Drosophila melanogaster: one gene and its partner. The protein of the gene in region 1 purifies or fractionates together with the protein of each later gene. This does not show direct contact. Each region holds a gene or a part of one and is shown on either strand. Other genes may lie near its edges.

Region 1 (4,384 bases):
TTAACGAAAACACTCAATCTTTTTAGCGCAAAATGGAGGCAAAGGCGCTGCTGAAGACGATTGACTGGAAGCGCAATGCTGAGGGACAGAAGAAGGTAAAAACTTCGACGGCCGTGGCGAATGCAGATACCAGTTCCGAGGACGAGATGGAGTGGGAGCTCCAGGATGTGCGAGTTCGAGTTCCCATCACATCCATAGCCACCACGACTACCTCCACGACCACCGTAGCTGCGGAGAGCGCCTCGAGTAGCTCCCTGATCAGCTTGCGTCCGGACCGAAACCTGATTCAGGGCATGCGTCGATCCCAGTCGAGCAGGACTAGCTTAACCGCGCCTGCCAGCGGCACCACCACCACGCCATCGGCAACTGCTGTCACAATGTCCACCGAGGAAACGCCTGGCACATCCGGTGGCCCTTCGAATCCGCCCGAGCAGGCGCCCTCGGATGATAACAGCTCCATGGAAATATCCAGCGTATCCATCGATTAGTCAAATGCGTTCCAATTGTATAAATTTCTATTTGTTTTTATGAATTATATTGGCAATCCAAGTAAATAATGAACTAGTCCTATTCACCATTGCCAGGTCCAAAACGTCATCCTTCTCCATCATAGTTAATGAAAATATAGTATTTCACAAAACTACTAAATACTCCATATTAATCGAATGTGCAAACAGGATCTTCAATTCAAAAAACTTTAGTATGGCTTATAATTTTTGTGATCTTAAACTGAGTGTTTCATAATTTGTTCCTTGGTTTAAGAATACCAAATATTTGATTAATCTGGCCTTGCTCGGCTGTTATATAATATGAATCCCCATAGTGGAGCGATTCAGTATGGGTAAAAGTAATCTCGCTTCAGAAATCTTGGATCCATCGTGCTATGATGGCTGCTTCCTTATCGCGGGCATCGCGCACAGAAGGTGGATCGGCCGGATCGCTGTGGCGCAAGTCCAAGTGATGGGCTCCCTCGGGCAGGATGATGACGAAGACCTTGTCGTTGGGAGCCTGAAGCACACCGCCACCGCTCCAGGGATCCAGAAGACCGTTGCTGAAGATGATGTTGGTCGCAGCCTCCAGGTTTCTGCCGCCATAGCGCAGAATGATGTCGTATGGCTTGGGGGTGAGACGGTAGTTCTTGTAGCACTTTTCCGCGTAATCCTTGAAGTTCCAGCTGGACGTGCGGAACATGGTTTCGGAGCCATTGGAGCAGATGGGCATCACCATCTGGTTGCAGCTCTGGATATTCCAACCGGAGTCATCGGCGTTGGAGTTGACGGATATATCGAGGCACTTGGCGGACTGTGTGTAGTTGGTGTAGACAGCCAAAGCGCTGGACATGGCGTGCAGCAAATCGGCGTCGGTGGAATGCAGCTCCTTCAGGTAGTAGCACACCTGCCTCACGGGATAGGCAGGTAATGGGGCCAGGAAACTGCTGTTGTACGGGTAATTGACCATGGCGAGATTGCTGTACACCTCCTCCACGTAGTCCAGGAACTTCTTCAGATCGTCGTCGTTCTTCAGGGCATTGCATAGGTGGAATGCATCCGATATCTGCTTCTTGCCGGCCTCGCTGGCGCCCAGAGTCTCGAAGAGTTTCCACGACTTGGCAATATTCAAGGTGCAGTTTTCGTTGTAGGCATTCTGGAACACCGATGTCACAATCCTGTAGAAGATGTCGCAATCGGTTATCCCGGGGAACTGCAGAACGGGCGCCGAGGCTGCCAGGGCTCCGTTGACCAAATGCGGATACTTCATCCGGAACCAGGCGGCCAGCATTCCGCCATAGGAGCCCCCGAAGGCCACCACGGGCATCTGGCGATCGTTCCGCAGGAACGTGATCAGCATGGCGTAGTCCTCGAGCGTCTGCTCCACTGTGAAGTAAGCCAAGTGCTCCGGCAGGCTGGTGTTGAACGTGGAGCTACCGAAGGGCAATGACTTTCCATAGTAACGATGCTCCGCAAAGATCACCAGAGCCCGCTGTCGTTCCGCCTGCTCCCACAGGAATCCGGTATTCTGGGCGAAGAGTTCGATGTCCCCCTCGTTGCCCGTGTAGAAGAAAATCGGGGTGCGGGCATTGCTCTTGTCCACGAACGAGTCGTTGTACAAGTACCGGATGTTGAAGGTGGCGTTGATCAGGAAGCTGAAATGGTCCAGCGGCACCTGGAACTCCTTGATCTCGTACTTGAACCGCTGGCTGCAATCACAGCCCGCGATCAGCAGGATTCCCAAAACCGCTAACAGTGCAGCTCTCACTGTGGCTTCTCCCATATCGCGAAGAATCATATGACCTCTGTGGTTTGCACAATTTTCAGTTCGTTATCTGCAAGCCGGGCTTTATATTACACTTTGTGCAGTGTTACCAGATCGCGAGACGTGATTTTTGGAGCGGTTCTAAAGCACTCAAAAAAAAAAAAGATAACTTGCATTTCAAAATCGGATACATATTGTTAATAAAACTACGCATTTTACATTTACCACTCATTTGGTAAAGGGTAATGAAGAATTAAGTGGAGATTCATTTGAACTCATCATATCTTGTTAGAAAACAAACATTGTTTTGATCTTAGTGTGCCGAATCATCTTAACAACGTCTTATATTTAAAACCTTCTTTTTAATCGCCAAAAGTTTAAAAAACACAAACCGATGCCCATTAAGCTTCTTCAAATAAGTACTTACCAACACTGCACTCAACTCTCGATAATTTTCAGCAAAGCACCTGTCATTTCCCCCTATTTTGATTTGATTTGAGTTCGATTTCGCCATGCATTTAAAAATGAGTAGTGAGTAAGTCGGAAAATTATTAAAAATAATATTTATAGTGATAAAATAAAATATTTCATGAGGCCTCGTAATCCGTAAAAATCATAATATGAAATAAACATATATGTTTAGTATTTTATTTAAATTTTCATTATGTCTGTTGGATTTGAAAGTTGGATAATTTAAAACGTTCATTGAAGAACATGTCCTTCTGCCAAGCTATCGGGTCGTTCTAAAGTAATATGAACATAATGCATTTGAATATCTTCGGTGCCTAGATGAAAATCTTGCTTCCAAAAGTGCTCTAATGATTTCTTCGAGGACACTTTCCTTCTCAAAAGTAAACACTTCGATGAGTGGCCAATATTTTGCAATCATTGAACAGTGTAACTATAAAGTAACTTTATCTGTTGCTAAATATTTTACCACAACGACTTTGGTATTTAGCGGACACTCTTTTAATCGGATCTTTGTATTTATTTCTATCTGGAATAGAATAGCCCAAAGGATAGAATAGCCATAACAGTTTTTCAATTCGCCTTGCTATTCCGACCCTGAAAGCTGTACCCTATATATATAAATATATTAAAAAATTGTTTTATTTTTTCGTTTTAACATTTAATTACAGCAATTACAAACACATTTTTTGAAATAAATTTCCCACTTCTGAACTGATTGTGGCAACAAACGCCAGATGGCGTTAAAGGCACATGAACGGGATTGAGAGTAAAATACCGAGAATGTAAAAAACACGGGCAAATGTAAAGTTCATGTGTCGAAATGATGTAAATATACGCACTAGAAAAATTAAAGTTCATTTTGTAGTACTAAATATAACACAGTTAAAATATTTTAAAATGATGTTTGACAATATTTTGTTTCTTGAAAATCCCTGTATAATGTCAACCGTTGGCATCTATCATATAAATTTCGTGTCGTTCCGCCTGATCAATCCCACATATTATACATAGTCAAATATGTCTTTAGATAGGCATTTTTTGCAGGGGTAGCTACTCAAGTGTATCCAATGGCATAATATTGGGGCAACATAATTGGCATATGGTAAGAGGTTACCTCGCTGGCTTTGCCACACGATTCTTTCTTGGTGCTTCAGTTCAGTTTCTCCGATCGGCTCACAATGCATGTAAATTACTTATCTTAGAAAATACTGTGACAATTTAGTGTAATGAATTGGGTAAATGTGCCTAATGCGAAATGGCACATTTATGCGCGGACACAAATCAATTCATTCGGTCCCGCGAGTTTTGCACATAAATTAATAAGCCCTATAAATTATCATAAAAACGGCGGAAAATTGAATTTCGAGTGGGCGAATGTGGTGGGTGGTCCGTGCGCAGCTGTCAAAACGGGCCCAGCGGAAACGGAAACAAAGCAGCAGCATCAGAAATGTCAGCCAATGCAATGAGGTCACTCCGCCGGTGCCGCTGGTGTCACATGAAATATCCATCACAATAATCATCGCCGGACTCGTGGCCAGATTATTTTCCATCCTGTGCGCTGGCTCGCCTAATTGATTTCATTCTCCCGCTTTTTGCGTGTGCTAATGTCAAAAGAAGAAACAATAATCATTGTGGCTCTCTAGTTGTTCGACTAATTAGC
Region 2 (4,727 bases), on another chromosome or scaffold:
AAACAGTGGCTACCAAGACGAGAACTGTGCGTACAACTCGAATGGTCCGGAATCGAATAGTCGCAGCTCATCCAGGGCTCGCACTCTGCCGAGACCGCCAAAATCGCAAATGGATAAATCAGGCGGCTATAGGTACAATCAGAGCCCCACGCATGCAGGCGGTGGTCCTCGATTCCCGCGTTACAGCAGCCAAAGCAGTTTGGCCAGCGAAGCGTCCAGCTCGTTTGATCGTCGCCAACAGACATCGCCACAAAATCCACATCAGCATCAGCACCAGCGGCACCGCCATTTCACACGCCGCTCCCAGCCAGACATCCATCAGCCGCAGAACGAGGAGAACTGGCAGGGGCAGGCGGATAAGGGCCAACCACCATCCGGAAAGGAGGAAAGCGAGCTGGTGCGGAATGCCCAGCAGACCACTCAGTACATGAACTATTTGTCGGCCCAGAAATGAGTTTATACACTTTACGAAGTCATCCACATGTACGAAAATTGTTTTTGAAGTCCGTTTAGAAGTTATTTGTTTCGCCTTCGTATATGTTTCCTAATGGATGTGTATATCCACGTAGACTGTTTTCACATTATTTTGTCTTCAACTGAGCTCAAATGTTAAACCAATACAAAACAATTTAGACCAATCACAAAACAAATCCATCTCAAATCCAGGCTTAAAGAATATTAAGCATGCATGCATTACACATTGGAGCCACTAAATTTGTAAATACCAATTATATATATATGAATGTCTTGTGTAGTCCCACACAACCACGCCACATAAACACTCCCACACAAAATACAGTCACACACACTCATTTTTATATTTATATATACAAATTGCTTAGAAACTAAGTACAAAGTCAATGAAAAAACAAAAATAATCCTATTTCTATTGAAAAGTAAAACGCCTGTTGGTGAAATGTTAAAAGCATGTTGAACATATAAAAATTTGTATTTTTAGCTAAATATATACTTATATATTAAATGTCATGTTATAGTGCAGGTTCAGCCGATTTATTAAACGAATTATACAAGCTTACGTATTTTTAAAGCAAATTTTGTGAGGCCCTCTGTTGGAACAACAAAGCCAAGCCGGAGTGCAGAGAAAAACATGAATTGTAGAGTTATACGAGTAGTCTTATATAGATACTTAAACCTCTTTGTTTAGGTATAATCAATATGTTCGCAACATGCGTAGGTTCAAAACACTAATCAGCATATAAATAGCGTCTAACACATTTTTAATAAAACAAAAAAATTGCATTATCATTAATCAAACATTAAAACAAATTCTTTTGAAAACTTTTGAAATCACCAGCAGAATGTCATAGTCTTACCTCCGTATTTACATCACCTGATTGGATGAATGTATTTTCCGAATCCTTGTGGGTGACTCCCCTCGTCTTCTGCGTTTCCACTTTCCAGAACTTCTGTGGGCAACTCTCGGTTGTGCATACTTTACAAAAGCGATAGTAAGAAAGCTTTAAGACCGCAGTTTTTATTAATCTTGCCATTTTGAAGACAGTTGGTCCGTTTTAGATACAATATACAAAAAACCAAGATTTCCGTTTATCGTAGGCATTGATCAAGTCAAGGTCAAAATATTTTTAAACCCGTGTCTAGTCACAAACATCTTCACTTTCCAAACTATTATAAAGAATTGCATACTTGAGGGCAGCAAATAGCAGACTAACTTATACATATGTATATGGGGACTTTTATTTGTACATAATTTGCTGGCAGTCAAAACAAAGTTATCAATTTTTCGCTTGATTAAAGAAATTGGGGACAAATCTTGGCTTACTGATAAGCGAATTTAAAACAAGTACAGAAATAATAGATCCGATTTTTTTCAAAAATAGAATAAGACGTACATATGTATTTATAACACAGATTCATACAATAAGGCATAAGAGATTTAAGATATCAGCAGCATCATCGATCTGCCTGGTCACGTGGGGTGACCACCAGGACTTCGTAGGTGTTTACGCTCACCTCTTGACCATGATGCGGGATGTACATGACCTTGTGGGAAGGATGCACCTTGCCCAGACGCAGGATACCCTGGTAAAGACCACGACCCGTGTAGGTGACCTCACCCAGCTCGGAGTAGCCCGTGTTCAGAGCATCCCGCGGATATGTTCCATGCTGTCCGGGCACCCACTTGTAGTCACAGTCGTTGAGCACCAGGATCTCGACATCATCGGTCAGAGTTCGGGCGCTACAGCTGTGCGAACCGAAGGCAGCCTTCTTTTCCGGTACATAAGGAGCAGGCAGGAGATCGTCGTGGTAATATCCTCTGGCCACATACGTGGGCAGTCCGTCTTCGTTGGTGCCACACTGCACAGCTCCCTCGGGCGGCAGGTGGGCATCCGGTAAGCTGTCTCTGTCCAGATCAATGGGCACCCAATCCATGGCCACCTTGGGCAATTCGGTGTCATCGAACTCCGGGGCCTCGGCGAAGTTTAGGTACAATCGGTGCACGCGTCGTCGGTCGCATGGGTCTCTGCATTGGGGGCAGGTCCTGGACCTATTCAGCCATCGGGTGAGGCAGTCCTTGTGGAATACATGACCGCACCGTGAAGTTGAGAAAATTATGTCGTTGGCCCGGAAAAACTCGTTGCAAATTGCACATAAAATGTTCAGTGAAGGTGATGAGTCATTTGTGGGTGCAGTTTCTGCGATTTTTCCGCCGTTACCTTCCATTTCACTACTATTACTCTCCATAACTACGTCCCTATGGATACTGAGCTTTGAATATGTGTGGCTCTATTCTTCTGTTCCAAATTTATTTCACAACAATGAGCGGAAAACGAAACGATTCGTATCAACTTTCCTGCTTTATTAGAGATGACCTCTGGAGAATACCAAATATACTAGAAATACTGTTATTTTAATAAGTTTGAATCTTGATTGAAAATAATCCTTTAAATATCTTATAGCATTAAGTAAGTAACATTTATATTAAGTAACATTTATATTAGCGTCTTAATCATAACTCTATTTTGGCTAAGATAATGTACTGTGCTATCATTTTGTGGTTATCTACTGGATCTTTACTTTGTATTAAAGTAGCGTTTCAAACCTGCACCAGTACTTCGTTGGTGCCAACGTTAACCTCTTGACCGTGCTGCGGGATGTACATGACCTTATGGGAAGAATGTACCTTGCCCAGACGCATGATGTCCGTCCTCGTTAGTGCCGCACTGCACTGCTTCCTCGGGCGGCAGGTGGGCATCCGATAAGCTGTCTCTGTCCAGATTCATGAGCAGAGGGTGCTCGGGAAAATCCCTGTTATTCTTGTGAGTCAGAGGACAGGCTTTTAACCGGGTACTTCTGCGAACAAGTTCGTCGTGAATGCACCTGTGGCCCATTGTCTGTTCGGGAATTAGTTTCCGAATCCGGTATGGCGATGGGTCATTTGTGGGTGCTTCTCAATTTTCCATTTCTTTGCTGTTACCATCCATATCTGAATCCCTTTACACACTGAGCTTTAAATACGTATGGCGCACTTGTTTTATTTTAAAATTAACGGATACGAGCTTTATAGAGATGGACTTTAAGTAGTGCCAGAAATACTGTTATTTTTATATTTCGTAAGTTTACATGGATCTCAAACGCTTATAACATTTAATTTCAAACTTTTTGCTAATATTTAGGTCTCAAGGTTTCAGAACAATTTTGTTTTATTTTGTTATAGATTTTTACTAAATAGACTAATTAAAGTGTATGCCAGTTGTTAAACAAATGTATTTCATAATCAGGAAGTCAAATATGTAATGTATATATATAATAAATTTGGATTTTATAGCTAAAAACTAATAAAAGGTTCACCTGTGCTCAATAATAGTTTCAAATACTGTTCAGGTCATTTTTAACACAAGAATTTATAAATATTTAAAATTAGCTATCGATAAGTGGCACCAGGTACTTACGATACTCAACCGATCTGGCAACGACGCGCGGTACGTGGCTTCGGGACACGGAAAACAATTTTACGGGAAAAGCTAAACAAATTATGTACAATTCGCAATAAATCCGAAAAGATATAGGGACAAACACCAGACGGAGAAGAGGAGCACAAAAGGCTGCATGAACTGTAAGTGCCAAGGACCAGATACCCGTTTCTTTTTCTGCGTTCACCCGTATCCTTTCACTTTTAATTGCTAAGTTCAACATACAACTACAAATGGATATTCAGCTGATTTACAGCTAGTGCGGTTTCTCAATGGCTCAAATTATGTTTCCCAAACTTGCCGCCACTCCAATGGAAACAAGTTAATGTGCGCATAATATGCAAATTTTCTGTTTGTTTTGGTTTGCCAAAATACAAACAATACATACATATGTACGCAAGTACATAGTACATATCTATGTTTGGCACACACACTGACGCATTAACTGCGCTCTTTGTTTGCCGCCTATAAATAAACGCCAAAAAATGCGTACGAGATTATGCCATTTGTTGCTTTTCAGCTGTGCTTTGCGTACGTCAACAAAGCTTTATTATATAAACAAATACAAAACGGCAATCAGCTGTTTCTAACAAAAAATAAACGGTTGAATAGCCTTGTCATTATCATTGTTTATTGTGCTTTGCCATAGATATATGTATGTATGTACAATGGCCATTTCACTATTAAACGAAATTATTAGAACGGCTAATTAAACTCTCTATCTTTGGCTCTCTTGTGTCTTCTTCCAAGCCCCTCTTTTGAGATATGCACATA

Evidence for each region.
Region 2: the proteins of CG2493 (region 1) and CG10916 purify together in Drosophila melanogaster (affinity purification with mass spectrometry, with the first as the bait; one large-scale study listed by BioGRID). This does not show direct contact.

Annotation. Positions count from the first base shown.
Region 1 is NT_033779.5:20,461,085-20,465,468, forward strand, and holds CG2493 (uncharacterized protein), read right to left. Parts: upstream 2,361-4,384; 5' UTR 2,287-2,360; coding exon 859-2,286; 3' UTR 501-858; downstream 1-500. Other genes in the region: Cdc23 (cell division cycle 23), read left to right, coding at 27-488.
Region 2 is NT_033778.4:18,171,807-18,176,533, reverse strand, and holds CG10916 (uncharacterized protein), read right to left. Parts: upstream 2,866-4,727; 5' UTR 2,725-2,865; coding exon 1,933-2,724; 3' UTR 809-1,932; downstream 1-808. Other genes in the region: CG5726 (uncharacterized protein), read left to right, coding at 1-454.